5 linked regions of the Coturnix japonica genome follow. The protein of the gene in region 5 interacts with the protein of the main gene of each other region in a pairwise test. Links are inferred from orthologs where the notes say so. Each region holds a gene or a part of one and is shown on either strand. Other genes may lie near its edges.

Evidence for each region.
Region 1: the proteins of TXN2 (region 5) and SCYL3 interact in binary tests that used the Homo sapiens proteins (3 or more experiments, as listed by UniProt). The two-hybrid records come from large-scale screens. The link is inferred for Coturnix japonica from reciprocal best matches to the Homo sapiens genes TXN2 and SCYL3.
Region 2: the proteins of TXN2 (region 5) and AGTRAP interact in binary tests that used the Homo sapiens proteins (3 or more experiments, as listed by UniProt). The two-hybrid records come from large-scale screens. The link is inferred for Coturnix japonica from reciprocal best matches to the Homo sapiens genes TXN2 and AGTRAP.
Region 3: the proteins of TXN2 (region 5) and PPCDC interact in binary tests that used the Homo sapiens proteins (3 or more experiments, as listed by UniProt). The two-hybrid records come from large-scale screens. The link is inferred for Coturnix japonica from reciprocal best matches to the Homo sapiens genes TXN2 and PPCDC.
Region 4: the proteins of TXN2 (region 5) and RBM45 interact in binary tests that used the Homo sapiens proteins (3 or more experiments, as listed by UniProt). The two-hybrid records come from large-scale screens. The link is inferred for Coturnix japonica from reciprocal best matches to the Homo sapiens genes TXN2 and RBM45.

Annotation. Positions count from the first base shown.
Region 1 is NC_029523.1:6,562,768-6,569,081, forward strand, and holds the start of SCYL3 (protein-associating with the carboxyl-terminal domain of ezrin), read right to left. Parts: upstream 3,819-6,314; 5' UTR 3,711-3,818; intron 3,143-3,710; 5' UTR 3,035-3,142; coding exon 2,870-3,034; intron 2,444-2,869; coding exon 2,258-2,443; intron 1,840-2,257; coding exon 1,726-1,839; intron 1,302-1,725; coding exon 1,245-1,301; intron 833-1,244; coding exon 730-832; intron 223-729; coding exon 111-222; intron 1-110. Other genes in the region: KIFAP3 (kinesin-associated protein 3), read right to left, coding at 4,555-4,663. UniProt on the Homo sapiens protein: May play a role in regulating cell adhesion/migration complexes in migrating cells.
Region 2 is NC_029536.1:4,898,907-4,905,329, reverse strand, and holds the end of AGTRAP (type-1 angiotensin II receptor-associated protein), read left to right. Parts: intron 1-26; exon of another isoform or gene 27-226; intron 227-1,772; coding exon 1,773-1,807; intron 1,808-2,012; coding exon 2,013-2,124; intron 2,125-2,743; coding exon 2,744-2,942; intron 2,943-3,164; coding exon 3,165-3,203; intron 3,204-4,464; coding exon 4,465-4,571; 3' UTR 4,572-5,201; downstream 5,202-6,423. UniProt on the Homo sapiens protein: Appears to be a negative regulator of type-1 angiotensin II receptor-mediated signaling by regulating receptor internalization as well as mechanism of receptor desensitization such as phosphorylation.
Region 3 is NC_029525.1:1,692,191-1,697,961, forward strand, and holds part of PPCDC (phosphopantothenoylcysteine decarboxylase), read right to left. Parts: coding exon 5,726-5,771; intron 3,753-5,725; coding exon 3,584-3,752; intron 67-3,583; coding exon 1-66. UniProt on the Homo sapiens protein: Catalyzes the decarboxylation of the cysteine moiety of 4-phosphopantothenoylcysteine to form 4'-phosphopantotheine and this reaction forms part of the biosynthesis of coenzyme A.
Region 4 is NC_029522.1:13,805,466-13,811,236, reverse strand, and holds part of RBM45 (RNA-binding protein 45), read left to right. Parts: intron 1-79; coding exon 80-246; intron 247-1,029; coding exon 1,030-1,222; 3' UTR 1,223-1,226; intron 1,227-4,144; 3' UTR 4,145-5,771. UniProt on the Homo sapiens protein: RNA-binding protein with binding specificity for poly(C). May play an important role in neural development.
Region 5 is NC_029516.1:47,243,498-47,248,951, reverse strand, and holds the end of TXN2 (thioredoxin, mitochondrial), read right to left. Parts: intron 2,328-5,454; coding exon 2,211-2,327; 3' UTR 1,631-2,210; downstream 1-1,630.

The sequences.
Region 1 (6,314 bases), on a different chromosome or scaffold from region 5:
CCTGTAACAAGCAGGGATCACGTCCCATCAGCGATGTAACATGCCTTCACTAAGTGAACTCACAACACAGGAACAAGCAATACCAGGAGGTGAGATGCTTCTTTCCTTACCTGAAGAATTCATGAGACAGTAAGCTGGACAGCGGGGGACGACACTTTGGATCTGGATTCAGCAGCGTACAGTGCAGGGTCTGCTGAAAGCTGGAGAGAATATCTGCTGAAACTGAAAGCCAGAGCACCTGCAATTAGATTTCTTTCTCACTGCTGCGGAAGCTTTGCTCAGGAGTCCACCACCCCTCCTGAAAACTTACTTTTAGAATCTGTTTGATTGCAACATGACTCATATTTGCTCCTAAAGGAAGAGATAATAGCATCTCTATCTTTCTCCCTGTGCTGCTGGTCACACCAAGGAGTGTTAGAGCCCCTGCTCAGCTGTGGAACGCAGCACTGTGGCCTTAAACACCCAGAGAAGTTTCTGGTGGGAGCAGAGCTGTGCAAATCTCTGCTACAAAACAGATTTGGGAGCACTTCTGTTGTCTGACCATGTTCAAATGCAGGTAAATGGGAACAAAGGAGATGCTGAGGTTTGGAATTTAACCTTGCAAACCCCAAGAACAGTGACGGCCACTAAACCTGCAGCACGTGTCAACTGCAACAAGAGCTGCATCGTTTGACACACACAAGGGATAAGCTGCACAGGTCCACATGTTGCAAATAAACATGGGCTCACCGTGATCATTTAGGGCTGTCAGGAGATTCTCCACCATGGCCCCAAAGGCGTACGCGTCCCTCGCATGCCCACAGCTGACGGGCAGAGCTTTGAAATCTGCAGACTGAAAACAAAAGACAAAAACCAAGATCAGCAAAGCAGGAGTTCACAGAAGTTGCCAGAGACCTCCACCCCTCCCCACACACACTCTCCAGTTCTTTCTATAGCTCCAAAGCTCCGCCCGGTACCCAATACACAGAGCGTCTTGCACACAAACACCTCCACCGAGGAACTTAAAACCCAAAGGAGCGACAGCATCACGGTGTAACAATTCCCCCCTGAACACATGCTGCAATTGCGAGTCAACAACCTTCAGCATAACCAGGGATAGGAAAATAAACCTCGGGTATTATCCAGCAGCCACTTCCTCCCATTCAGGCATAAGGAAACGAAGCGTGTGAGTGAAAGCTATTTTCTGAATACAGCACTGTCATGTGTCACCAGCAACAAGCTCCTGACGAAGGCAGGTCACTCACCATCTCCTCACATGGGATGCACGACTGGTCTCGCACTGATTTGACATGACAGAGGAACTGGAAAGGGAAGAGGGGAGATGTGAGCTGCCTGCGGGGCCCACCTGGGCCAAGCAGCAGGAGCGAGCTCTCCCCACAGGCCAGGACTAACATGTGCCCCTGCTCCTTCAGCTGCTACAGGTGTGAAGCACAGGCAACTTCAAGGCACCACAGCCAACCCATCCCTTTATGTCTTAGGTCCCATCGTCCACGATCCATCTGGGCAGGGATAGGATTCCATGACCCTCCAGCCAGCTGCCTCCCTTAGAGAAGTAGCTCATTTGGGGCTACTGGGAATTGGTTTCAGTTGACGTAGATGACAAGTATAGCTGTAGTGCTCCTGGAGCAATGGTTCAGCTGGGAGCTGGACATGAGCCTTCCCAGTGCTGACAGGCCAGGAGCCCCTTCCCAGGCACTGGAGGGGTGTGCTCTGCTGGGCTCTTACCTCTGGGGTAGCTTCATTAAAGTTACAGACTGTTTCCATTCCTCCCAGCTTCCAGTGCCCGTCCTCGCTTACGAACACAGACGATAAGCAGACGTTGTTATGCGTCAGGTTGCCCTAAAACATAAGAAAGGTGCAAAATCTTCATCGGAGCTAAGAGGGAACCGAAGAAAAGCTGCCAAGAAGCGCATAATGCTACATGGCCTCTGGGATGCTGCAGGTGAGCAGCACCAACTGTGACAGCCCCTACAGCGCAACTGTAAATGCAAAGACAACTACTAACTACAGACAAGCTCAGAAGCTCCAGTCTGAGCTGGAATTTATGTTCATGCATAGACAAACAATGCCAGAACAGGGGAGCAGTGACACCAACCTCTGACATGTGGCAACAGCTGTAAATAAACACGTGGCTTAGCATTTCTGCTCCAGCAGGTGAGTGTGTTTGCGAGGAATTAGAGTCATCCATACAAACCCAGTTACAACACTGCTGCCACAGTTCTTGCTCCCAGCAAAGCGTGGTGCTGCTGGTACCTACCCTGTCATGGAGGAAGGTGAGCGCCAGCAGCACGTCGTAGATCCCTGCGCAGATCTCTGCAGAAGAAAGTGTTTCCAGGACCGTCTCCAAAGGCTTCACCCGTTCAGTGACCAGGTGGATCCCATTAGCTTCCACAGTGCAAGAGAGGAAGCGCAGAAGACATGGGTGGCGCAGGGTTTTCAGGTGCTTCCAGAGACAGAAACATCTGTTACATCTCAGCCACTGCAGAGCTCAGCCAGGCTTTCTACTTGAATCGAGCCAGCCAAGCCTGCTGCTCACCGAGCTCTTAGCACATGGCTCATTGCAAAGCACGTTATGGCACACCTGGATGCTTACACAAAAGAATAAATACAGTGCTGTGAGTCTGCCTAAGAAAGACTCTGGTGCTGAGATATGCAGGAGGAGATCGGCACATTGAGAATGCCGGCAGGTGCTGTTATCTGAGCACTGAGCTTTGCAGCTGCCGACCCCCTTCTTCCCTGCTACATGGACAGGGACAGCCCCGACTGCTTCTTCCCTCACCCCGAAGGCTTTGACCCTCGTTAACAGCTTCCCACCTCTCTAAGGAGGCAGAGCTCTGACAGCTCTATCCCAGCACACACACTGCGGTACCTTGGCGGCTTTATTAACCATGTTCTCATTCTCCTGCTTGTACACGAAGACAGAAGTGCATTTGCCATCCTGCAGCACAGCCGGGTGAATGGTGTGTCCAGTCGGCAGCGTGAAGGGCGGCTCCTCCAGCGTGTAGCTCTTCAAAGCGCTGTTCTCTGAGCCCATCCCTCGCTGAGCTGGGCTGGAGACGTTCCCTCTTGGCGGCAAATGGGTCACAAGGAAGAGTTGTGCAGGTGGAGGCAGGCGCCGTCCTGTTCACTTTTAGAGCATCTTCTGCAAAGCACCAGACAGCCATGAAGAACCTCATCCCATCAGCTGCTCATCTCATCAACCAACAAGTCTATACTCAGCACGTTATGACCTGTATTAAATGTAAGCTATACCAACTGTTGGCCTGCTGGGCAGCAGCAGCACTCACACGCAGCAGGATGGGGCTCTTGCAGTGTTCTCTATGCAGGACGCTGCACCCACAGCCCCGTGCTCCCACCTCAGCTCCGCATCCCGCTGCCTGGCACAGCTCCGGGGCGGCACAGCTCCTGGCAGCAGGCAGAGCTCCCGCCGGGGGAAGGAGCCGCAGGGACACGTTCGCGATAGGAACCAGGAAGCGCTACGGCTCCTAACTGATGTAACAGGGCTTAACCTGCCGTGGTTACGGCCTTCCTCACAACCCGCGCGCTACGAGCGGGGCCTCTGCCCGGCGCCACCGGCCGGCAGCGCCCCAATACCCGGCCGGCAGCGCCCCAATACCCGGCCGGCAGCGCCGTGCCCGCACCCGGCACCCGATGGCGGCGGCTCCGTCCGCGCGGTGCCGCCCCGTCCCCCGTCCCGTCCCGTCCCGCACCTGCTCCATCCCGGCCGCTCGGAGCCGCCTCCCGCCCCGCAGCCGCTCGGTCCGGCCGCACTCTGCGCTTCCGGCAGCGCCGTGAGCTGACGAGGCGGGAGCGGCCGCCAGCGCCCCCTGCCGGCACGGAGGACCCGCCGGGCGGGCGGCCGCCATCTTGGGCGCGGGCAGGGCGGCCATTTGCGGTGCGGGCGGGGGATCGTGCTCTCCACACACCGCTCCCATCCCGCGCTGTTACTGCGGCTCCGCTCACACACCGCTGCTCAAAGGCTCCCAACCAGCTCCTGCCCTTTGGGCCAACCATATCTGTTCACTTCTGCCTTTCCTCACCCCGTGTTGCCCCCAAACCTCCTTGATTTCAAAGGGGACCTTAGGAGGACGCCCCCAATGGCAGTGGTGGCAGCTGTATCACTAGGGAACTGTTTGAACTGCAGAGCAGTGCCTGTATGTTGCATCTATAGGGCATCAGTCCCTGCTCTGTGCTTAGATCCAGCTTAAACCCCAGTGAATAAGCAGGTTATTAATGCATTCAACACTGACCACACGGGTTTTTGTATTTAATAGAAATTAAATTAGTAGCTTCATATACAGAACGTGACGCTTTCCAGTCCAGCAGCTTTTCAACACTTGCTTTTAAATCACAGAGCGAATCCTGTACAAAACATGGTATTAAAGAGCAACCAAAGACTAACACCAGCACTACAGCAGCGGACCCAGAAAGGTTGGGTTTATCTGGAGCTACACACACCGAAGGACACGTAAGGACAGACCCATGCACTACCAAGGGACACATCTACACCTGCCATGCACACTCTGGTCCCTGCAGGCAGGAGCAGCCCCGCATTCATCGTGCTCCATAGCTGTAGTAGTACGGCTCATCGGGGCGGTAACCATAGGCAGTCACTGGGCGGCCAGGAGCTCCTGGGGACTGACCGAAGCCATCGACTCCAATGCTGTAAAAAGAAGGGAGAGGAGCTGTAAGGAGCTGTAAGGAGCTGTAAGGAGCTGTAAGGAGCTGTAAGGAACTCCAAGGCTGTTGTACAGGGGGGAAGGTGCTGCAGCTCTTCCAGCCTGGAGGCAGCTCAATGTCTTCCCCCTCCCAGCCAGCGCCGTTCCATCCTCCTGCATGGTAAAGCAGAAAAGCTGCAGGGAAATCAACAGCTCTTTCCTCAGAAAAGCAGCACATCCAAATAATCCCTGAAATGGCACAATTCTGAGGCCCTGGGGCACAGACGAGAAAGTGACAATATATGGTGTAGCAATACAATACAGTTCAAAGGACAGTGCTGCTGGTGGGATACGAGACCCACAGCCAATGGCAGAAATGGCATCAAACATCAAGTGGCTGTTTTCTAATGGGACACAATGAACCATCTGTCACACAGAACAGTATCTTCCACACCTAAAAAAGCCACAGCACGAGAACTGTGTAGGGAAAAGTGGCTGTGTCACTTCTAAACTTCCACATCGGTAGGACAAATGGCAAAGGATTCTGATTTACTGCCTGACTAAAGATGCATTGAAGGGAGTTGAACTCCTGTCAAAACACAAAGAACCAAAGTGCTTTTGGAGTGGGTTAAAGCTGAACCTCATTACTGCCAGTTATACATATGGAACATGGGTTATGCGGCAGCCAAGGCCTGGGAAAGAATGACCCATCCAGGCGATGTACAATGGCCCCCAGGCCCTGACTCACCAAATAGCTGGCACTGCTCAACTGGTTGGGCTGGAAGGGCTCAGCTGCAGCACTGGGGGATCCCGTCCAAGCACTGTCCTTGCCAATGTATTTTCCTCATGGTGCCTTTGGGAGGGCATAGACCCATTCCCATATGGGATGCTCTGATCATGTGAGGGTGGAAGGCTGAGACTTGTCCTCTAAGGGATGGAGCAACCAAGAAGCCCAAATGCAGAGCAAACCATTCTGTCTCACCTGAACGCTTCTGGAGGAACTTAGTGCCCTGAAAGCACACTGCTATTTCCACGCCTGCCTGTCTGTATTTGAATTGGCAAAGCCTCTGTCTCAGCACTTGGATACGGAGCCATCGGTCTGACCCCACGTCTGAGCAGTCTCTTCTGCAGAGGAGGGAAGCAGAGCAGCAGTGCTGGCAGCACTAAGCACTGTGCACACGTGGCTGTGGGTCTGCACCCTCCTCTGTCCTCCCATCCCTTCCTCCAAAGCCCATTCTTCTATTCTCAGCCCATTCTGAAACAAGCTGCAAACACCGGAGGTGCCTTCCCCAGCTCCCTGCTTTGTGCCGGGCACACAACAAGACCCGAAGCTGTAGAAGACTCCTGGAATAGGGATTACAAGAAACCTCATGACTTTATTACTATCTAACTCCTGTCTCCATGCACACCGAACGCTGCCTGCAGCCTCAGTCCCTCAATCAGAGGATGGACGGTCCTTCCATCACGCCATTATTTGCTATTAATCCGGGTGCGATGCAGTGACACCGCCCAGCCACGGGGTGGCAGGGGGCCTCCATCCCTGCAGGCTGAGCTGCAACAGCTATATATATATGTGTATATATATTTATAGATTTATAAAGGACACATATATATATATGTGTGTGTGTGTGTGTCCTTTATAAATGTGTAAGTAAT
Region 2 (6,423 bases), on a different chromosome or scaffold from region 5:
TGTTCTCGGGTGTTTTTATGTGCTAGCTCTGGAATCCTAGCATCATTTTGATTGGAAGAGACCTACGTATGTCACCTAGCCCAGCCTCCTGCTCAAAGCAAAGCTAACTTGAAAAGTAGATCAAGTAGATCAACTCAAAGAGTTGGCAACCACTTTGGAGATTATCTAGTGCTGCTCCCCTGCTAAAGCAAGCACCCCAAAGGAGGCTGCAGAGGAAAGCATCCAGGTGGGTTCTGAATACCTCCAGGCAGGCAGAATGAGTTCCTGTACCAAAGAACTCTTCAAAAAAGCAATGTATGCTCTTAGGTATGGATATATCCCCCTGAACAGATGGGAATGAATTCTTCTGTCTCACCAGGAGGCTGCCTGCAAATTATCTCACGTAATGACTGCAGCTTTAAATAATGTTTTTCATTAACACTCCGTTTTCTGTGTGAAAGCATACCGAGACCATCAGCCAATTCCATAGTGCCCTGAAGAGCTGTCAGATAACTCAGACTAATAGCTCGGAAGGAAATGCTTTGTTTTTCTTCCAGCAGCCCCCTGGATTACCAGCCCTTGCTTACCTGACGTTATGCTGGTGATGGAGCCAGCTTCTTAATTTAATAACTGCAATATTGATCTAGACAGCTTAATATATATATATATATAATAAAACCCACTCTGCGTAATTATATTAACTGCTGAGCCTTGAGGGGTCTTGTGAGTGCATAACGTGCAATTAAATACTACCTAATTAAGAATTTCCCTGATGTTGTGATCGTCTCTTGGGTGAATGCTATTTGCATGTCTCCGTTCTTATCCAAGAACATCTTGTATTTTCCTGATTAGCAGTTTCTGCCTGGTCTCTGCGGTGCAATCTGGGAGGAGGGGGAAGCAGCGGGTGGTGCTGGAGCATTTTGTAGGCTTTCATGAGCAATTAAAAAAAATAGTCATTATTAAAAACCTGTTTGAGCAGCGTTTGATGTTCAGGCGGTCTGTGCTGAATGCTCAGCAGATGTGATAGGGTGCTGCAGTGCAACCAGGGCTTTGCCTTATGATAAGATATCTATGTTGTGATATCTTGGCTGGACAGTCCAAGCCATTGCAGCTGCATCGCTCCTTCTGGTTTCACTCACGTCACAGCTTCATGGGTCATTAACTTTCCTGAAGCCACGAGTTCTGTGTGAAGTTAGAGCAGGTGTAGACATTTTGAGTCAATAAATGTGACAGTATTTGGGCACTAGTGTTGTCCCTGGAAGTGAAAAGAGTGGTGTAGCATGGCAGGATTGGGTCTTTAGGTTCCTAGAAGATGACTTCAGGTCTGTTAATATTGGAGCGAGGCAGGTTGGAAGGGGGTAAAGGGGAATTCACAGTGAAAATGCTGGGAGCTGCAGTCATGACAATTCATGGACTTCTTGGTGGTGGGATAGTAGATTGGTCATATATGAGCTGTGCTAGTTTAGTGTGAATTAGGTTGTCTGGCTTGACTTCTGGAGTTCCAAAATCAATAACACATTTAGAAAAGGCTTAAGCATGCCCTGAATCCACTGTCAGCAGTGATGATGACAGCAATGAATGACTACAGTGGAGCACAACAGGAAATACTCAGCAACAGAAGCAGAGAAAAAATGGTTTTGTCTTTGCTGGACCTGTTGCTAGGGTAGTTTTTTGCACTGGTTCCAGGGCACCCTCCTACTCTCTGTCATGGAGATGAGGTGGTATAATTTTATATCATTTCTCCCACAGTTTTCCCACTTGCTGACCTGTCTTCCTCTCTGTTTTTTCCATAGGCCATCATTCTGGTGCACTGGCTGCTCACAGTGTGGTGAGTGATTGGTAACTGGCCTGGCTTGAGAAGAGCTTCCTTCAAACTAGGAATGGGATGTTCTTGGGGAATCGGCACTCCCTGTTCACACCTGTGTGCAAGGAGATCCTAAGGCCAAGTGCCTGTATGGGAGCAGGGATAAATGCAAACACTGCTGCAGGCTCCTTGTGAACTTGGGTTGGGTTTTCTTTGTCTTGTTTGGCAGGGGATGCATGAATAACTCGTTTCCAGCCTCCTATGCTTGGGGGAATTTCAGTGTCCTTGCAGTGGGGATCTGGGCCATTGTGCAGCGAGATTCCCTTGATGCCATCGTGATGGTGAGTGTGAGGGCATTTGCCTTTACCTGGCTGCTCAGGGAGAGGGTGGAGGGCAGAAAGGTTCCTTTGAATCAGTATAGTGATGATCTTCAGCTGCTCCCAGTGCAACAGTGAACAAGTCAAACTCTTCATTTATTTATTCTTGTCTCCCCAAGGGAACCTGGCTTCTACTTAAGCACTATAAACTGTGGTGAGAAGCATTCACTATCCATTATTTTGCTTCTCAGGGGTAAGGCATACTTGGTTCTTATTTTCTGCCTGCTGTTGTCGCTTTCAATGCCAGAGGAGGATTCAGACTATTTAATATGCTTGAGTTAGAGATGTCTTTAGAGATTCCCTTCTCTGATCATTAAAGAAATTGGCAAGCATAAATAAACAACCCTGGAACATACTAGTAGAAAGCGTCCAGCAGATGTGAAGAAAATACATGATGTATGAGATCATACGATAATCTGTTTACCTTGGGGCTGTGTCAGGGGTCATACAGAGGTTTTGTGTTATACAGAGGTGAAAGCATAACTGTGTGAATGCTGATCTTCTAGTAGATAGAACCTATAACTGGCTGTTACTCCTGGTAGTTAATTCCTCATTCAATTCATGTCCTGTTCTCTCTTTCCAGTTCCTGTCCGGCCTGCTGTTCACAGTCCTCACAGACATCATTCACATCTCCGTCTACTACCCTTTACATGCTTATCTCATCGATGCGAAGCGTTTCAGTATGGGCATGGCCATCTTCAGCCTCCTCCTGAAACCCGGATCCTGCTACTTTGTGTATCGAATGTACCGGGAGCGTGGAGGAGAATACATCTTCAACATAGGTAGGTTGCTTCCTCTAGATCAGTGTGGGCCACATCCTCTGATGTTAGAGAAGGCTGCTAGGGAAGAATTGTACCCTTCAGCCTCAACCGTGTGCATCTGGATTCTGCCCCTCTTTCCAAGGAGAAGAGGATGACCTCTCTCTTCCTCGTGTCTGTTCTCACTTTTGTGCTCCTGCTGAGTCTTAGGCCTTAAATTTATATTCTTCCTCTCTTCCCTTGCAGACCTGGAGTCCTCGTCTGACAGCCGTTTTGCCTACAATGGTATTGATGCCACTGCTGTCACTCTTACTCAGTTAACTCAGGTTTTTCCTCTCTTCCTGCATTCTGTGCGCTTCTCAGAAGCCTTTGGGTGTCCTTCTCACTTTGTCAACCTTTTCCTTCTGTGGGGAAGTAAAGGCATCAATCCCTTCTACCTGGGAATTATGCATGTGAGGAAAGGGTGGGTTTCTAACTCTGTGTCCTAGCTATCTTAATTGTTGTGGACTGCTGTTTCCTTACCTGGGAAATGGGACTGACGTTTACCTTCTGCTGCTTTGTGTGGAGGCACTTGTTTTTCCTCCTGGCTGTAGTTGCTAGGAATAATGTGGCAGCCCTGCCAGAGAGAGGTGTTATAGTTGGGTATTCTGTCAGCTTCTTTGCCAAATATTCCTGGTGCTAGTTCATACTGGGGCAGCTGCCAGAGAGTGTTTGCTGTGTGGGAGTTCATCTTGGCAAAACCAGCAGCCTAGTGCAGTTGTCTTTTTCTTTCCTGAGGCTCTGTAGGACAAAGGGTGGTATAACTAGCACTGCAGTGTTTAAAAGCTGCCACTTAGACTGCGTTGGTGTTAGCAAAAAAGATGAGGCTTCTTGTGAAAAGAGGTGGATGCTTGTAGAGAAGGAGAGGCTGTCAGAGGAAAATGGTGGCTTCACAGTATAGTTTGCATCTTGTAATAGAAGAATGTGGATGTTCTCTCCATCAGCTGCTTGGGCAGATGCTGGCAGGTCTCTCTTAGCTGGCTCAGAAGGCCTGTGTGCCATGTCTGTGCCAGTTTTTATTAGCTGCTTACTCTACTTGTAACTCAGATTTGATATCTGTATCCTATAGAAAGTATAGGTGAGTATTCTCCCTTCTCCCCATGCTACTCCAGCACAGGCATGATGTCAGAATCTCTTCCCAGGCACAAGCTGGAATTCACTCACGTAGTATTTTCTTATCCTCTCCTGAAATGTCTTTCTCACAACATTCTCAGTACAAACCATGTGCTGTTGTTTTCTGTTGAACGTGGTTGACAATTTTTCTCTTTTCCTACTAACTGGCATTTTTCTTTTGAACTTAATTGTGATTTTCCAGGTCCTCTGTCTTGTCTTTCTTTTGAAACAAAAGCCCTCTTCACCACTGGGCAGCATCCTCACTGTGTAAAACAAGCCTGTTGTGGTAACGTGGCATGCCACTCAACTTTTGGTTTCTTCTAAGAGATTCCGGGTGGTTTTTTTTGTGCTCATTTTATTTTATTTTTATCAAGCTGGTTCTCTTCTTCTTCAGGTCTCAACCGTGCAGGCCGGGACCGCAGCGCCTATGAGACAATTGATCAGCAGGATGCCTCTCCACTGTGGCCTGACTCAAGCAAGACAGCTCAGCAACCATATTGAGGCCCCTGTCTGCAGCAGAATGGACACCTCCCTCCCCCAGTCCAGCCTTACACTCCTCCCGTGTCTATTCTGATGAAACAAGACCTTCTACTGAGCAAACAGAAGAGGATCTGATTTGACTTTTTCCTTCCTGAAGATTAGACAGAGGGGTTCTTGGAGTGAGTCCGGAAGATCTCAAGTGACTTTAAGCACTGTTTAAGCTGTTTAAGTGCTGTTTAAGCTGTTTGTAATTTCAACACACTGCTTTCCTCTCTCCCCTTGAATCCCTCCTATGTATGTGCAAGTGGATGCACCTTCTGCATTCTACTAAGTCTTGTATTGTGCATCCTCTCTATTCTAAGTAAGGGAGATGCACAGGATGTTCCTGGGCAAGCTATCTTTAACAAGCTTAAGGACTGCCCCTAAAACAACAGTTCAACCCGTTTTGTTGTTGATATGTTTCCAGGAAACATCTGGGACTTCTTCAGGGCTGTTTTTGATGGTGTTTTATAATTAAGATTTATGACCATAACTCCCTGTGCTAGCTGTGGTGGTTTACGTGCAGTTGGGGTTGGTATCAAGTGCTCCTACTGGGCCAGGGAGCATTCACTGATGCTTTTATGGAAGTAAAATGTTCTTCAGGATACTTAATGGCTGCTAAATGTTGATTACATATGTTCTGTGCCTTGAAATGTCCTTTTGCCTTCAGCTGCCTGTCTTAATAGGACTTAAGTGTTACACTTTTCTAAGAAAAACATAAAATGAACACAGTTCTTCTGTGTTAGAAAGAAAAATTACACTGGTCACCCATGTTTCATTTGAAAACACTGCTATTCCTGAGGCTCTGGGAGGGTTATTAGGGGGCAAGGTCTACAAGGCTTCAATGGCTCTGTTGTAAGCATTAAGCAAACATGTGGAAGGTACCGCATGGAGATGTGTTGGCAGTGAAGGTGAGTGAGTTAAAGGGCTAGGGAAGGGAAGAGGTGGGTTTGTGGTGAGCTCTGGAATGTGGCAAGCTATAAATGTAGATCTTATACACATTAAACCTGCCCTGCTGTGGCTTTCAGGGGGAAATCCTTACAAATAAATGTTCAGCAGGTTTTGTCAGAAGAAGGAAAGATTGTCAGCCTTGGCTGAAGAAAAATACAAGAGCTGGGAAGATGTGTGTTTTTCTGAAGCAGGTTCACTTTCAAGGTATGCATTTGTTATTTGAGAATTGCATTTCTCTGACAAGACCTGATGCTGTGTTGACTCTTCAATGACCAAAAGCCCTGTTAACTTTGCTCTACCCCTTAGGAACATACCATTTGTATCTTTAAAGGCAAGCATTTTTCTTTCAAGTTTTGTCACTCCAAACATTAGCAGATGCTTCGTTCCCTCTACAGCACCAGCATTACGATGGCCTGCTGCTGTGCCTGGACCAGTGTTGCTTATGCTTGGCTGAACACACAGTAGATGCTGCAGAGCTGCATTAATCTGATTTACTCTCCCATGATGAAGACTAGGTAGGCAGAGTTTGTTTTTTATCAAGTCGCAGGGTGGGTTTATCCAGTGTTTTACTGTTCTTGAGAACTGTGCAGTGACCTTATAGATCCCATGTTCAAACACTCAGGAGATAGGCAGCTTTTTCTTCCCTCGACCTGTGAACTGCAGACAATTTTCAATGCAGCACTTTCTGAGTATTTGCATGAACATATGGTTACATCTAAGGAAGCTCTTCCAAGCCATTCTCCGTTGGAAAACAAAACAAAACAACAACAAAATCTGCATCGGTGCCCATCTAGTTGACGTGCTGTGTGTTTTCCTGCGGAGAGTTCAGCAGATGTGAGGGCAGCGCAGAGGAGCAAAGCAAGGCAGGGGTGTCAGCACGCTT
Region 3 (5,771 bases), on a different chromosome or scaffold from region 5:
AAAGAAAGCTGCTCTGGATTTGCACCAGCTTGATTCTTGGGAGTAATTCTTGGAGAAGACTGTGTGCTAAGCAGAACAAAATGTAAAAGCTTTTCCTTTTGGACTGGTTAGTTTCCAGATGAACATCTAATCTACTTTTTGCTCTGAAACACTCTTTTTTAAACCTAGAATGAAAACTTCAAGATCAGAGAGCACTAAATAATCTTGTGCATACAGAGAAATCAGTCCACTCACTCCTGATACCTCCCCACCAGCATCTGTTTCCATTAGAAGATTCCAAAGATGGTAATCTCTACTGGTCTTTTGTTTTGCTGGCTAATTGTTGTAATTATTTAAAACACGAGCCCTATTTGTTGTTAAAAATTAGTTCTGGGAGGTTTCGTTTTCTTCTTTTTCTTCTGATTCACTTCCACAGCTGGGTTAGCGTGTGCACAGACTAATAGTGAAACCAGCAGGTTCCAAAGGACAGTTACAACTTGAAGAATGAGATGGAAGAGAAAACACCATATTATACAGCAGAAGGGTGTGCTCTGTGGGCAGATCACAGCACTGAATCGGACAGGACCTTCAGCTTTCAGATGAGACACCTGAGCCTTGCCTGGGACAGAAGGTATAACTGGATGCAACAGTGAGGAGTTGGGATGAAGTGCAATGCTTTTGGAAAGACAAGAAAACCGAGAGTGAGGATCTCCACTCCATCATTTTCAGGCTTATAAAACCTAAAAGGTTTGAAGCACCCCACAGACAAGATGCAGGCAGATGTGGGTGGCTCTCGCCTCCTGTTCTGAGAGGAGCTGCATTTGATGCCTTCTGCTAAACAAAAGAAATTCCCCAAATGCACCCTTACGTTTGGCAGAACGACAGCCTCCAAGAGCACTTCCAACACCCGCCTTCATCCTACACAACCCACCTTCTCAACATCTTTGGCAATTCACAGCACACATTGTGCCTATGGCGAAAAATTCTTCCACTGTGCCAGGATCCAGAAATTCAGCCAAGGATGAAGAAAATACCAGCAGTTTGGAAGTGTTTCGCAACAATAAATTGCTGCAGGCCTGCATGTGGTATGGCACCTCTCAGAGCTCTCCTTATATGGATGGATACTACCAAAGCCAGCAACCCTTAGGTTACATTTAACTATCCAATCAAGGAAACATTTAAATTGGCAACTAGATTGAATATTTTAACTCTTTTTAGCTGGACTCCATGTCTAAAAACACCTGAAGCGTCTGATGCATGGACTCAGATGTGAACAATCCAGATTCCCATTCACTAGTTTCCTTTTTTAGCTTTCCCACCCACCCTTAACTTTCCCATCCACCTTTACATGCCATGTATTCTACAAACACTCCATAACTCTGCATGCAGATGCCTATCTAGAGCCATGAGCCGTTCAAACACCCACTTAGTATGGAAGAAACGTGGTTGTAATACAGAAACATGATGGCAGCCACTTCAGGTGTGTTCAGTTACATGAGTGGTAGGAGATGAACCTCACTCAACAGCAAGTTAAACCACAATGTCAGCAAACAAAACTGGTGCAAACTGAATCTTCGGCACCAGATGTGAGCTTTGCTATCTGGCCATTGGAAGCCAAGCAAACCCTTTTGTGGATAAAACCCACAAACCAGAAATTAGTGTGGAAGAAAGAGGTTTTGGGGGGAAAGGCCTGAAAAATAAAAACATCAAAAAAAAACCAAGAGGAAGGTGGGGAAAAAAAGTCACTGGGGAAGACTATCCTGTGTTTTCAGAGACCTGGGGTGCTTTACTGCTCTGCCGTAAGTTTCCTACCTGCTGCCGGGAAAACCCTGGCATGTGCCAGCAGGAAAACCTTGATGCAAATTGACTCACAAGCACAAGCAAAGCCGAGTCAGATGTGGCTACTCCTGCCTCAGCTGTCCATACCATCCTTCTCCTACAGGCTTCTTTGGGAGTTCATTCTCACTATAGGAACATCTGAACTACATGCAAAGCAGCTCCCAAATGACTGTAGTTATAATGAGGTTACTCCTGATCAGTACTGGTTTGGCTTTGCCATTGTGAGCTGCAAACCGCAGCAATGGACACACTGCTTCTCATGTGGCCCTGGATCACTACCATGAGGGCAGAAACACCAGGGAACAGCAGGGCAAAGCAGCAGAACACAGAAAGCATGTTCAGCATCCAGCTCAAAGCCATCTGCATCACTGAGTCAACACACACGGCCCTTCTGCATCTCATATCCCTATCTGCCAAAGAGGGACAACACCGCAGCTCTGCTTCAGGTGTGTGGACCTGTGTGAATAAGCTCATCACTCAGAGTGTGCTATAGGACTAGAGGTCCTATACAAGTACAAAAAGAGATAAAGGAAAAGCTCCAAGGGACTAAGAAGTTATGCCAGATGGCCTTTCCATTCCTGCCAAAATGTCTGCACAGAATGACCTCTTTTGGGCGTTTTCCCTTAACATTATTACAAGCACACAGGAAATTTGATGTAATCAGGTCTAAAACCCCAGCGGAAACATAATTGTCCAGTACAGTTACAGCTGATGCCTGAATTACTTGACTACACTTACCTAAACTGTAAATATTTCTAAGTCATCATCTCCAGAAAAACATTCTCTAAAAGCATTGCATCTACCCAAGAATTCAGACGCTAAGAAAGCCAGCCCTGGAATTTAACCATGAAGAACGTGTTAGCATCCAGTCTCCACGACAGACATTCATTGAGATAGCTGACTGAGTGGTTAAGATCCTGCTGTTGTTGGGTTATCAGATGAAAGAACGAGTGCATTACTGTGCAGGCAATAAAACTACTGCTATTATGGCTAGAATTGGGTGATGTTTTACAGACAAACTGTCCACAAAAGACTAAATTAAAGAAGTGAATCCATTCATCCAAAATGCTGATATAGAAAAAAACCTTCTTGAAACCTCCCAAAAATCAAAACATGCTCATTTAAACCAGTTCCTAGAATACAAATGAGACATTTTCACTTGGCACTCTAAGTCTGAAAGTTGAGCGTGACAAGTCTTCCTACCCCCTTCTCTCACTTCACAGACAAGGCTGATGTCAGAACTCCAGATCAAAATGAGACTGTGAAGCCGATTGAGCTGAAAAGTAACCCAGGCAACAAACAACAACAAATGGTAAATGTATGTTCAGTTACACCCTCAGCCACATCTGCAAAGTGCTAATCCTCTATGTCTGCTCTAAGGGATAAGATATTATCCCCACGTCAGAGATGAGGAACTGAGGCATGATGGAAACAGCCCACAGTCTCAGCAGAGGGCATGGCTGGGACACCAGAATCCCAGGCTGATAATGCTCACCGCAGAGCCTTGCTTCTCTTTGATCTGATCTCTTTGAGGATTCAGAGTATCTCTTTTAAGTATCAGACCTATCTACCAGCTTGTTTTGAACAAGAGTAATAGGTGTTAGCTAGCACAGACATGTTGTTTGTACAAACCTTGGCCATGAGCACCTGCTCACTGCAGTCTAACATCTGGAAGGTCACAGAGCAGAAGAGTAAGGCACCTCCCTTCAGGGTAAAAGGAGCACTGGGGCAGGAAAACAGTCAGAAGACATGCAACAGGACTGACCTTCATCTCCACACACTAGTTTCTTCACCACACAGGGGATCTCTGTGTAGCCAAAGCCTTTCAGCTGCTCCACCTGCTGAGCTGTGATGGGATGCTCCCACATGGCCGTGTTCATAGCCGGGCAGAACAGCAGGGGTTTGTGCAGGTCCCAAGCACGGATGACACAAGTCTGGAAAAGAAGCCAAAGAGTTCAGCTCTGAGGCACGTTCTTTTTCATCATCCCTTTGCTCGCTTTGCTGCACAGAAGCATTTTCCCACTCCAGGTATCACGAGACAGCCAAAACATCCATCACTGCAGCTGGACTAGCCCGTAAGCAAATCCACAGGGCTGCTACTAATGCAGGCTGCATTCCAGCAAACCTCCTCTCTGACAGGCAAGAAGGATGAGAGAGGCTACAAAAAGAATAGATTCCATCCTGCTCCAGCTCAGGGCCAAGCAAACAGCCCAATCGCTGGACAAAATCAAGCTGGAACACAACGTGTGCAGGCAGCCCATGTGGGAGACCAAGAGTAGTTGAGGGGTGGCCACAGATTGTATCAGCTAAAGAGAAATCCCCAGGCAGCAATTCAGATAAGCCAGCTGTAGTGCTAAACACAAAAAGCTGGCAAGTGAATCTTCTTAAACAACACGCCAACTGGATCCACAACTGCTGACAAGGGAAGCACTCCTGTTTCCAGCATACAGAGGATAACAGGAACACAGCTGAGCTGCTGCAGCAGATGCTGGTAGATTACAAACCACCTAGGAGCTCCTGCATGCTACAGAGGATCATATCTAATTCCTCAATAAATACAGCTTCCAGATAAGCTAATATCACCTTACCTCCTTAAAAAGAGCAATGGTGACTGCTGTTAAACAGTGCAATGCCTGTTACCTAGACCTGACAGCCATGCAAAGGGAGTCTCCCAGGTACCTTGCACCAGTCCCTGGTGCTGGAGCCGTGCTCATTTCAGAATACTTCAGAGAATTCTGCCCATCCTTTTTTATGCCCCATGATTTGAACCCTTCCTGGCACAGAGGAACCTGTTCCAACTTGCTAGCCAGCACCTCCAGTACTTCCCTACACAAAGGTAACCAAGATGACTGGCAGGAGTTTGTGAAGCCATGTGTCCTTAACACCCTTCCTGAACTCTGTTGGCTGCATTACAGATGGGGTTCAGAAGGACAAGACACTGCTTGCCCCCATCACAGCACTTTCTTACATCTCTATATCTCCAGAGGACTGCTTGTACGATTCAGGGCTGTAGCTCTGGATGCACTTTTCTCATCTGTAGGTACTCTTTTCTTACTTGGACAGCTAAGCTGACCAAGCAGGGCTCCCCAGCCAGGCTTGATGTACTGCCCTCAATTCCCAATTCTAGCCTCCTTGTATTACTGAAGGGCAACACAGTATTTGCATTTTTACAGCTTTCTGGCAGATCTTTTGGGCAGTTGATACTCATGACCTTTCCTGGTGAAGGCTCAGTGGATGGATACAAAGGACTTAAGTTCCACTGAAGTTCCCCATCACTGAACCGAGACACACGCTCTCCTTACAAACACTTTCTGTTCAGCCTCTGACACAGAGCACTTCTAATATCAGAGAAAAAAAAATCCCCAAAACATGCCTGAACAAGCAAAAAACCCCATAGTTGAAAGTGTAAGGTAAGTAAGTGTGCACACGTTTGAATTTGTGCTATGCAGTTAGGTGAGGGAGGAGGTGAGGTAGCAGGAAGTAAACAGTTTTTATCTGATCTCACAGGTGCCTTTCCAGATTGCATCTAAAAAACGCAGAGAGGAACTCAAAAGTGAGTGTGAGTGTGTGCATGTGTGTGTGTATGTGTGATAGAGAGAGGATGGAGGTAGAAAGAGAAATGTCACCCAACAGAAAAAGCAGGAAAGGCACAAAATAGGAACCGGGAGATAATGGAAGAGACAGAGAGCACCCAGGAATGGAAAAGGATATAGGTATGGGAAGGGAAGTTGGAAAAGGAGCAGAGGAACGATATTAGCAGGGGAAAGACAAGCAGCTGAGGTGGCAGCAGAACATGCAAATCGTGACGCTGCTGAAGCACAAGAGTTTCCTTGACAGAAAGGTCAGACTGGTGCTGGGAGGGGAGAGAATGCAGGGACTGCCCTAAGGCAGAGTTGCAGTTACTCACCAGCAGGTTGTCACAGATACCGTTTGCCAGCTTTGCCAGTGTGTTT
Region 4 (5,771 bases), on a different chromosome or scaffold from region 5:
GTCTCATCTGAATTAGATGAAATGATACTATTTTTCTCATAAAAATTGACTTATAGTTGAGTTACTTCTCCTGTTTCAGCAGGCATTTGGAGGAACCTCTGGCTCACCGTTACTTCAGCCCCAAACCGATGCTATACTTCCACCACCCAAAAAAAAAGTTCCACCTGACACTTCTGTGAAGGAAAGGCTTTTTGTACTTTTTCATCCTCATCCCTTACCTGTGACTGTATTGGAGGATGTTTTCTGGTAAGGCTTCTTATATTGATAAGTGTTTTCCTGAACTGTGGAATAATGAAAATAAATGCTGGAAATTAAAACAACAACAACAAAAAAAAAACCGAACAACAACAAAAAACCACAACAATTAAAAATAGTAGGAATGAAACAATATGCACTTCTGTTAGAATTCTAAGGTGTACTTTATTTTATGTACTGGATTTTCTAGTCTTGGTACTTACATAACTTGAATATGAATGAAATAGACTTCAAACTTGTTAAGGTACTGTCTAGGAATCTCCTGAGGATTTAGATTTTCTGTGAGGCTTTAGCTTTTGCTTTGTGAGTCATTTCAGCACAACCTTTTTGAAGATGAATCACAGCTGAACAAGTTCATTTAAATGCGATGTGAATGAATTGCCTCAAATGCCTTTGCAATTGTCTGGTGTTTTTCTTTTGGTGGTGGGGGGGGGGGGTGTTTTTTACTCGTTTAGTATTTACTGTGTGTGACTATTTCATGGAATAGCTTTAGTGATCCTAAAGGAATATGTAATACTTGTGCTTCTATTGCAGTATTCTGTAGAAGACATTTCCTTACAGACCCCTGGGCTTATTTCTATTCTTGTGCAGAATTCTAGAATAGGGAATGAAAACTAGGACTTTTCAAGGAGGATAACACAAGATATTAAGGTGTATGTGCGAAAACATAGAATTTGCAGCTACTGAATTTTGTTGAGCTGGGATTAGATGATAAGTGTCAGTGCTGCAGCAAAACCTGTCAACTCTCTCCTTTGTTGCTGTTATTTTTTTCAGCCGTTTTGGAAATTTAATAAAAGTTTACCTTGTGGCTGGGAAAAATGTGGCCTATGCAAAATTTGCCGACAGAGCAAGTGCCAGTGAAGCCATAACTGCGTTACACGGCAAGATTGTGAATGGTGTCAGACTTAAAGTAAGGTTGGCAGACTCCCCCACAGAGGAATCTAACAAACGTCAGAGAACCTACTAAGTAGGTGAGTACCCAGTTGGAGTGGTTGCTTAAGCTGAAGTTCAGCTATTTGAAATAGTTGGAAGCAAAGAGTTTTGAAATTTTGTTGATAGCTAAAAATAAATTTAACTTAATTGGGGGGTGGGGTTATATGGTTTGTGTGTGTGTATAATGTATGGGTGTGTATATGCTTATACATGCACTTTTATTTTAGCAAAGAAATCTTTATTTTTTTAATGTTTCTACAAATATGAAATGATTAACAGTCTGGATGTTCATTGAAACATTCACTTAATGTACATAAAAGTATCAGGTCTGACTGAAAGAGTATTGGAAAAATAAACGTTGTAACTGAGACCAGCTTGCGTGTGTCTTCCTTTCATTACATACACGTGCCTTGAGCATGATGTTTGATAAAGATGCAGAGTTTGTCCCTGGAAAGGACAGATGAAGGAAGGGGTGTAAATGTCACAAAGCAAGACCAAAAAGGCAAGGCTTCAGTAATTTGGGTAATCTGGACTCTCAAATATCAGATGCAGCTGGAATGTGTGGTGGTGGAGGTGTATATTTAAAATATGAAGTTTAAATATTTTAGTTAATTATATGGCCAATAAACAGTGTCAGAGCTCATATATGGAGGTTTGCAACCAAAGCTCACTTGTTCTTAGGAAATGTTGGTTTGATTCAAATGTAAATATTACTTTAATACCCATTATGGGTATGGTTCTGAATCATTTCAGTAGCTGGTTTTCTACTGTTGGGGAGAAAACAAAAGAAATCCAGTTGTTTCTTTTTCTTCCTTCCCTTTCTCATTCTAAAAACATCACTTGAAATCCTAACTGTCTTCACATTGGTGTTTTACTTAGTGTCACACCTTGTCACTGCAATGTGTAGGTGTGTTCTGTGACCTGGGAGTTAGAAAGGCCAGAAAAAGATTTCACCTGTATGGTTCTCCCTCTTTTCCTAGGGAGTCCCATGTTTCTCTTTTGATAAGCGTCGGTTTCTAAAGGTCTTAATACTCTTCATGTACAACTTAAAAAGAAACAAAACAAAAACTAAATATGTCTGCATGGAATTGGAGCTAAAACTCTTTTGAAGCTTAAAAATTGGCAGGTCCAGTGAATGTAACTCATACCCATGTTTTTATCTTTATTCACTAAGTTCTTCTTTCTTAAATGTGATTATTATTTTTTTTTTCTTTAAACTTCTAGTAATAAAGGACCAAACCTTTCTGTCACTACAGGGGAAGCTATGATTTGAAGTGCAATGTCGTATCAATTCTGTTTTGACTGGAGGAAAACTACTTTATAGAATAGAAGAATAGTTATGATAAACATCCAAAATTAGTAGTAAACCTCAGAAAATGTTAATTCCTCTAAAAAATAATAATAATAATAATAATTGCAGGCTGCAGTTGTTTCCTGAGTGAAGATGATAGATACTGTCTGTTACTTGTAAGATTTGCTTTCTGTAAAGTAGTGTGTGAAAGTGATTTTAGTGTTTTCGGGTTAACTGCTTACTATGCAAAGAAGTTAAGAGTTGAGAATTCTTGGGTTTAGTGAGAAATTTCTGGATGTAGGAGGAGGGAATGTTCGTGTTTTGAGAAAGTATTGCTGTTTGTGTTGTAAAGGTTATCTGACTGAATGATAAGAAGACAGACCAAATAATTATTTATAGTCTAAAATCTCAGTTTAGAAGGATTGAGTCTGAAGACATGGATCAGTCTTAATCTATGAATATGCTCAAGTAAGCAAAGAGAAGAAGTGTGTTTTTTAATTACTTTTTTTTTTTTTTTTGGTGGGAATATATAGGATCCTGTGGCAGGAAGCTGATGCCAGATGTATTCACCTGATGTAGGGAGCCTGCTTTGGCAGGGGGGTTGGACTTGATGATCTTTGGAGGTCCCTTCCAACCCTTACGACTCTGTGATTCTGTTTTCACAAAGTAGAAATAAAGACCTGGCTCTTTTTAATGGGGACTGTCTGTCAGATGACTATATGGGGAAAAATCAAGGAGGATTGTGTCTTGATTCCAGTCTAACACTATTTATTTTTGTGGTTTGGGGTGTTTAAAATCTGAAACTGAATGCGTAATGGTGCTTTCTGCTTTAAAATGTCAATGAACTTGGTGTTTTATACTGTACTGCAATACAAAGAATGGATGAGAGTCTGTCATAGATGTCACAGACAAAAAGTGAGTACAGGGTGGAAAGCTTTGGTTATTACTCCAAAACAGTGGACTTTCACTGGCTGCAGAAGCTACTCTGTCCACTGTATTAATAGTGGGTGGGGTATCAAATTAATAGCTCTACTCTCCTGTTTTTTCTTAGGGTAGTTTTTTTTAATTACTGAAACTAAATTGTCATCTTACCCTCTAATTTTCCTAATGCTGCTAACATAAAAAGCGTAACAACGATTCTGCAGGTTTGCAAATTCAGTAAGGGTTTGGTTATTGGTGAAGGTTACTGAGATAAGTGAAAGGAGTACTTGGCAGCCTTCTTACTGTTGCAGAAAATGTTAATAAACAAAAATTAAGAATTCAGAAGATGCCTCTTATCACGAATCCCTGAATTGACTTGAATTTGTTTTTATTTCTTAAATCTTTCTCAAAAAAACCCTTCAAATTTAATGTTCGCATGATGATTTGCTGCTGTGCAAAAATATTTTAAAATAGGAATTATATGAAAGTTGAGAGATACACCAAATTAATAATTTTTCAAGTACTATTTATCAGCTGTGTACTGTAGAAAAATTGCTGACTTTCATGCAATGTTCAGAATGAGACTTTTTCTTAAGGAAAAAAAACAACAACAAAAGGACAAATGTGTGATGCTTAATGTTATTCTTCTGAATGTGTTAAGAGCCCTTATCACTTACGCTGTTGTAAAGCCAATAGGTATGTTGCTTTTTGATACTTTTTTTGTACTTGTGTTTTTTTCTGCAGAACTAAATAGTGACATGACCCTCGACTGACTGACTGACTGAAACGTGACTAGACATGGTTCCTGGGGACAGTGACATCCTTTTTTCCTTTTTTTTTTTCCCTTTCCTTTTGCATTGTTGCTCTGTTGATGTCGTGCTTTCTGTTTTTAAGAAGTGTGAACATGCAGTTATAAAAGAATCCAGCAGTTTTGAAATTGTATACTGACGATTGTTCATGTAGAATCCTGTTTTCTTGTATTCCAGAAATAAATATCTCGTGCTAAACTAAGCTCCACAAACATGGAAAATGCAGTGATGAGAGTCAGGTTTTTGTGGCTTGACCTGGTTAATTGATAGTGAATCAAATTGTAACTATGCTATTCTGAAGGCACTTCCAGTGACCAGAATGCATTGAAGTAAAGCAGTAAATTGAAAGAAAGCGAAAGAACTATTTCGAAAACTACTAGCATATTTGAGAGTATTAAGTCAGATTTGATAGAAAAGCCATACTCATGAAAGTGATTCAAGTACACTCTTGAATATTTCACTGACTTGAGCCAAAAGTATTCGTTATGCTTTATGTGCTATTTAGCGTAAAGGGCATTTGACTGTGGGTCAAGCTATCAAAGCTGCTTGCATTTATCATTTTCTTGAGGTTCTATCATTGTAACTACAGAAAAATGGAGTCTGGGAGTTTTCTTTCCCAGTTTTTCTTAAGAAGCTTCCAAAGAGTACATTGTTGAAGAACTGGTTAATTGAATAACAGTTTAGTATTTCAGCAAGATGAAGATGATTTGAGCACTGCTAAAGAGTAAACGAAGATAATTTGAATAAGTATTTGCAAAGATGATTGTCAAATACAAATACTTCCTGAATGTTATTTGTTGAATTGAAAAATGTTGGTTATTAAATGTTCACAGATAAAACTGAAATTCTAACTGCATGCACACTGCTGTACAAGCACGCTCTTTGTACCTGGCTTCCAACTCCTCCAGTGCTGATCCCTTGATCCTTAAGTGGGGATAAATAGCTGAGCATCCACAACTTCCTCTGTCTTTGAGCACTTTCAGAAAGATGTCCTTCCAAAAAGTCACCACCCCACAGGTAGGTGAGAATGTAGTTCCATGACTGATGTTCCTGGGATGAATTTGGCATTTGTTTCCATGTAGCTCTCTGAGCTTTAGTATCATTTTACCCTTTATGGACTCCTTGCTGCCTTCTCAGTCCCCCTTATTCTTTCCAAGACAAGAATAGTTGCTGACAAGAAACTTTTCCAGCCTTCTATGTCGTGCTCCAGGCCCCTGACCCTCCCAATTCAAATAGCCAGTGTGCAGAAGCATGCTGTCTTTTAAGTGATATTTTTGTGTCTTAAGTTATGCTTCTACCTGTGGTAGATAGCCTCCTTTTCTTGTTTCCTTTGTTCTTCAAAGAGCAGGAGGAATTAAGGTGTTGGTAAATATCTCCAACTGAGCTGAGGACTAAATCCTTTTTAAATCTTTCTCTGCTGTTTTACAGTATTAAAAGGCATATACCCATAAAAATTCTTTCCAGGCAGGAGGTTGCTTGAAGGGGAACACAAGGGTGTGAGATGCAGAAGAGTTTGATACGGTATTTTTAGCTGGAAAAATGTGCTTACTCAAAACATACAA
Region 5 (5,454 bases):
GAGCACCCAGGGAGGGTGTGGCATGGCCAGCTCCACTGTGACAGGCAGCGATGGCTGCACACTCCTAAAATAGCAGCTGGGAACATGAGAAGCGGAGCACTGCTGTAATGCTTGAGTGGGAGGGAGTCAATGTTTAACAGATCAGGGGAATTTTGGATGTGTTTAACTCCAAAAGGGAAGAACGACATCCCTGCCCTTGGCAGCCATGCATTTTCTGAAGGACTGCTCACAGGGCACTGTCTATGTGGCTCTTCACTGTTTGTCTCAAAGAAACAGTTGTGGCTTTCACATAACGCACCCTAGGGCATAGCCGAATGGGACATTGGCTCCGCTTTTCCTTAGAAGGAAGCGATAAAACAGCCGATTTATACTGTCTCTTAAACACACAATGTAAAGTCACTGTGTTTTTTCCTGTTCTGTGGGATGGCGAAGCATAAGAGTTGGCTATTGTTGGGTACGTGACGCTGTTCCCCTACTCTTCCTGCACATGCAGGAAAACGAGGATGGTCTTTACTAGAAGCGTTCAGGGGGCAGCAGGAACACTGAGGTGCACCAAAAAGGCAGGGCAGATTACAACAGGAGCGGGCCACAAGCAGCTTTGCCTTCTGCGGTCTGCAGCAGCACAAAAGCAAATGCCACTGCCTACTGCTCACAACGTACCGAATTACAGCCCGCTGACATCAGTGCAGGCAGCGCGCTGTGCAGGCTGTGTGCCAGGGCGTGAGCTCAGCCCTGCCGGGAAGGCACCCACCTGGGGGGCTGCGCCGCTCCCGATGGACGCAGGTGGGAACAGTGCTGTGGTTGCGGTGGGACACACAGGACTTGGATGGCTGCTTCTTTCACTCCTTAAAAGGCTGTAAATCATTGGCACAAAGGTGCAGAACAAACTCGCCTCATCGCCTAGAACAACCTATGGCAGGGAGGCAAAATGGAGCAGAGCCAAGGCAGAGTTAGGAGTGATTGAGGGAAACGGGGGTGGGAAGGAAAACAAGAAAGCAGCCCTTACGTGGCTGTTAAGCACATACAGTGCCCTCATGCATCTTAGCTATGCACACCAATGTGAAGTATTACAGTAAGAGGGAACTGGGAGTAGGGCACTGCCCAGGGAAACCAGGAGCACGTTGAAGTCACCAAGCGTGTGCAGGGAGGGAGAGCTGGGTAGGGCTGAAGGCTGTTGGTGATATGGGCACACAGCTGCCTCCCTCAGTCTAAAGGTTGGGGCAATTAAGAGTCAGAAATCCACCTTTGTCAAGGGTCACCCATGTGAGCAGACTGAATTATCTACACAAGAAGGAGGGCAGCTCTCAAACTGGAAAGGAAGTGAGGAAAGCATGGGGGGCAGTGAGCCACTGCCTCTGCACAAACAAGGAGTGTCCCTGCAGAGCCTGGGATCCAGCTGCACCTAATGTGGGACACAGGAGCAGCACTGGGAGCCCTGTGACAGCGATCCACTTGTTTGTTTTTCAGAACATTACCTTTTAGTAGAGATCAAGTCATAACCTGCACTCTCCCAACCCATCATTAGGAACCAGCCACTGTTCTGCTGATAGTGCCTCTCGCTACTCTGGACAGATAAGGGGCTCCCCCGGGGTTTCAGAGAATCAAGTTTCATTCTCCAGCTAGACAGATGTGACGATAAAGTTCTCTTTATTACAGACCTACAAAAGGAGATCCATAAAATACTTCTATTTTCTCTTATAAAATTATGACGGGAGCCTGTGGGTTTGCAGAGGATTTGTACCTGTCCTGGGGACATCCAAACAGCAGGATCAAGACAGTTTCAAGAGACAAGGCAGAGGCATTCTCAACTTTAAACAAACCCACCCAGAGCAGATAAGCCTCCGCATGTTGGAGCAGTTGCCCTCTGCACTGGACTGTCAGATGGTAGACAAAAGGAAAATATTCCTCCTCTTAGCTCAGCAGAAGTTCCACACGTCAGCAATTTGTTGATGAACACGGGCTCCTAATCCCAGCTGCATTCCTCATTTTGAGGATAAGCAGCTCTGCTCCTCAGCATCCTTTACAACTACTGCTGCTCAAGAGAAGGGGGGAACAGAAAGGAAGGGTTAGAACATTGTCCATCTCCTAAGACCCCCAAACAGAAGAAAACCCCAGGCTGTACGAGGCAGGCAGCCCACGTGCTCCTCAACTCAACAAGGAATGCACAAGATGAACATATTCAGAGGCAGAGGTACAGCCACCCTTTAACTTCAGGCTCCAATGAGTTTCTTGAGGAATGCTTCCAGCTGATCCTCGTCCTTTACCCCCACAAACTTATCCACAACATCTCCATTCTTCATCGCCAGCACTGTTGGCACTGCTGACACCTGGGGGCAAGAGAGACAGAAATCCATGTGAGCAGAGAGCTGCAAGAAGCCCAGCTGCACCCAGCCCCAAATGGAGCTCTACAGCTGTGCCCATCCAGAATCCCCTGCCTCAGACAGGGAGACAACTGCAGCCAACAAAGGACAGAAAGCTTTTCTCTTTGCTAAAGCCTTGCTTCTGAACTGCAGGGACTCGGCGTTCTGAAGCTGAGGGCATCTGGCTGTAAGCAGTGATGAGGGCTCTGCCTGCAGGTTGGGGAGTTGACCCCACACTGCTCAAAGCTGGCACATCTACAAAACGACAGCTTGACTGAGTTCCTTCTCTCTGTGGCCTCACCTCTGCATTGCCTTATACAGCAGTCTATGTTAAGTCTCAACAGCTTTTCTAGTTTAAATAAAACCTACAATTTAAAAGACAAGACCACACCTAATAACCTAATATAAAAGCAAAAGGTAAAGCTATTTTCCTCTCCAGTACAGGTTCTCCTTCTCTTTTACCCTATCATAAACAGACAAACCCAGACTTTTACCAGGCTGTCTCTCTGACATGATGACCTTTAGACTTTTATGGCCAGGGTGGTATCAGATAGGACCTGTATTCCTCTTCAGATAGCACAGGAGCTGAAGGAGGGCTCCCCACCCATTGGCAGGCAGGAGGAAGACTTTTGCCATCCTCTAATCCCCTGTGACCCATCTTTCTTCTTCTGCCCCTGCTGATCAGATAAGACAAATCCCTCCAACCAGAGCCCAGCTGCATTGCTCCAGGTGCTATTTTTCTCATCCAGAACAAATTTTGCTGGGAATTGCTGAAGAGAACAGCAGTGGAAATGATGACGCTCCCTGGGGACTTGCTGAGCGCATGGAGACAGAAGAGACCTCATAGATGTGATCACGAGAAGGAGCTGCTGGAGCTCAGAGACGCAGTCATGACAGCCTGCTCGCCCCTACCCAGCTCCAGCACAATGCCTCTCCTCTCCCCCCAACCACCTCCTGTCCTTATCTTGTCCCCTGTGCCAACCTATAGGGCCTTCTCTTGTGTGCTCCAGCTGTCCCAGCCCTGCTGCCAGCACGGATCTACCACACTCAGAAATCCTTCCTGCAGGAAACCCTCCAGAGGTCTGGCTTCTCTCCCAGCAGGAGGCTGAGATGAAAGGGACATTTTGTTCTTCCTTTCCCGCCTGGACCCGCAGTCTGTCCTCTGGGGTTTGTGCAGTTCCATCTGAGTGGATGGAAGCACCGAGGCTGCTACCACCCCACCAGCCTTGCTGCGACACAGGTTCTTCAGCTCCTCCTAGTGACAGCCTGAGGCAGAGCCAGGCTGCTCGCATGGCAAGCTGCTCGGGATCTTAGGGATGAGAAAGATACTGCAGTTGACTGGTCTCTTCCTCTCTCAGAAGGGCAAAGTTTCACCAAGCCTCCCTCTGGACTGCAAACTGGGTTTGTAACAAGCACCCCGAGGTTACAGGGCCTCGGTACAGTGAGGTGGGTGAGAGCAAGGAACCCTGTGGAACCCTGCAGCTGCTCAGAAGTGCTTTGACAGCATCCTTCCTGCTGTACTTGCTTTTGCTGCATGGGTTCATACTTCTTTTTTTGCTGCTGAGAATGACTGAAAAGCAAGCTTTATTTTTTCCTTCTTTTTTTGGGCTTGGTTTGCACTGAATAAACTAAATAAACTCTCTTCTTCCTTCAAAGCATTTCTGAAGAAAAAGTCAGGCTGCTTTTGATCAGCACCGGCCAAACAGATAAATGTAAGCAGACATACAGGCTATTCGTGGCAGCACTCATGCTGAGGGAATTCTTTCCCATCTAAAACTGAAAGCACCAAGAGCTGGGCAGGGAAAAGCCTTCACCCGGCCTTAGGAACAAAGCATAGCAGGAACGAGCTCTGCCAACAACCAATGTCCCCACGTCCATCATTCTACAGGGCAGCTCACATGCCCACATGCAGAGCAGCAGAAGCAAGGGCTGCTCCTTCCCAACAGGCACCAGGCCAAGGCAAAAAAGGAATCTAAGGAATTTCAAGAGAAAGCAAATTAAACAAAAATACTCCTCCCTTCCTGCTCTCAAGAGGACGAGAGCAGGCTGGAGGAGCAGCAAAAGGCCACAACTGGCAAGGAGAGGAGCAAGCCAATAGGGGGAACCCTCAGAGAAAGAACCTGCGTGCTGCACTACCTGAATGGAGGAGGGTGACTGCGGCATCTCTGGTCTCAGGAAATGCTCTTGTGTGTCATGCTAGATGGGGCTGCTGGGAGCTAATGGCACTCTCCAGCTCCTCCTGGGGGCTCTATCTTCCCCCTCTGCACCAAGGAAGCCAGTGGAAAGTACATTGCGCAATCAGGCAGCAACCTGCGGCGTACGCATGTGGGCAGGGGAATGGACACAGGTGGATGAGGCTTCCTTGCAGTTAGTGGGGAACTGTGAGGATGGCAACAGACCCTGAAACCCTCAAACATAAACCTGAGCCTGTAGACATCCAATCTCAGATGGAAAGACTCAATGAATAAGTAAGTAAATAAAAAATGTTCTTTGGCTCTCCTGATGTCTCCCCTCTGATCTTGCCTCAGCATCTCCCCGTCAGCTCTCATGCCCACATCTCCTTAGCTGGCAACTTCACAGAAGACTGAACAAGACCAAGCATGAGCATGGCGCACAACCCAAACTTCTGCTATGAAAAGGGTGCCTCAAAACATGAGAATCAAACCAAACTTTATCCTTTACCCATTTGCAGCTGTCCTACTCACCAACACTACCAGGGAAGGGATTCAGCTGCGTGCAGAATGGTCAGGACCAGATACATGCATCACTGCAAGAGCAGAAGATGCAGAGATGATCCAGGGGTCCTCTTGCTAAACAAAACTTTACTGTGTCTGTATGTTAGGCTCCAAAAAGAAGCCAGCCCTTGCTGCCTACACATACGCCCATCAGAGCTGGAAGACAGACAGACCCTGCAATAAATAGCTGTATGCCTGCAGCTTCTCACACACATCCAGTAGCAGTGCATGCAATGAGTAATCACACTTGCAGAACAAAGGAACTTGCAGCATCTTTTTCAAGATCTTTCTTCCCATATTTGTACTCTGCTTGCCATTTTACAGTCGTACGAGATCATCCTACTGTAATGCTCGCTAAT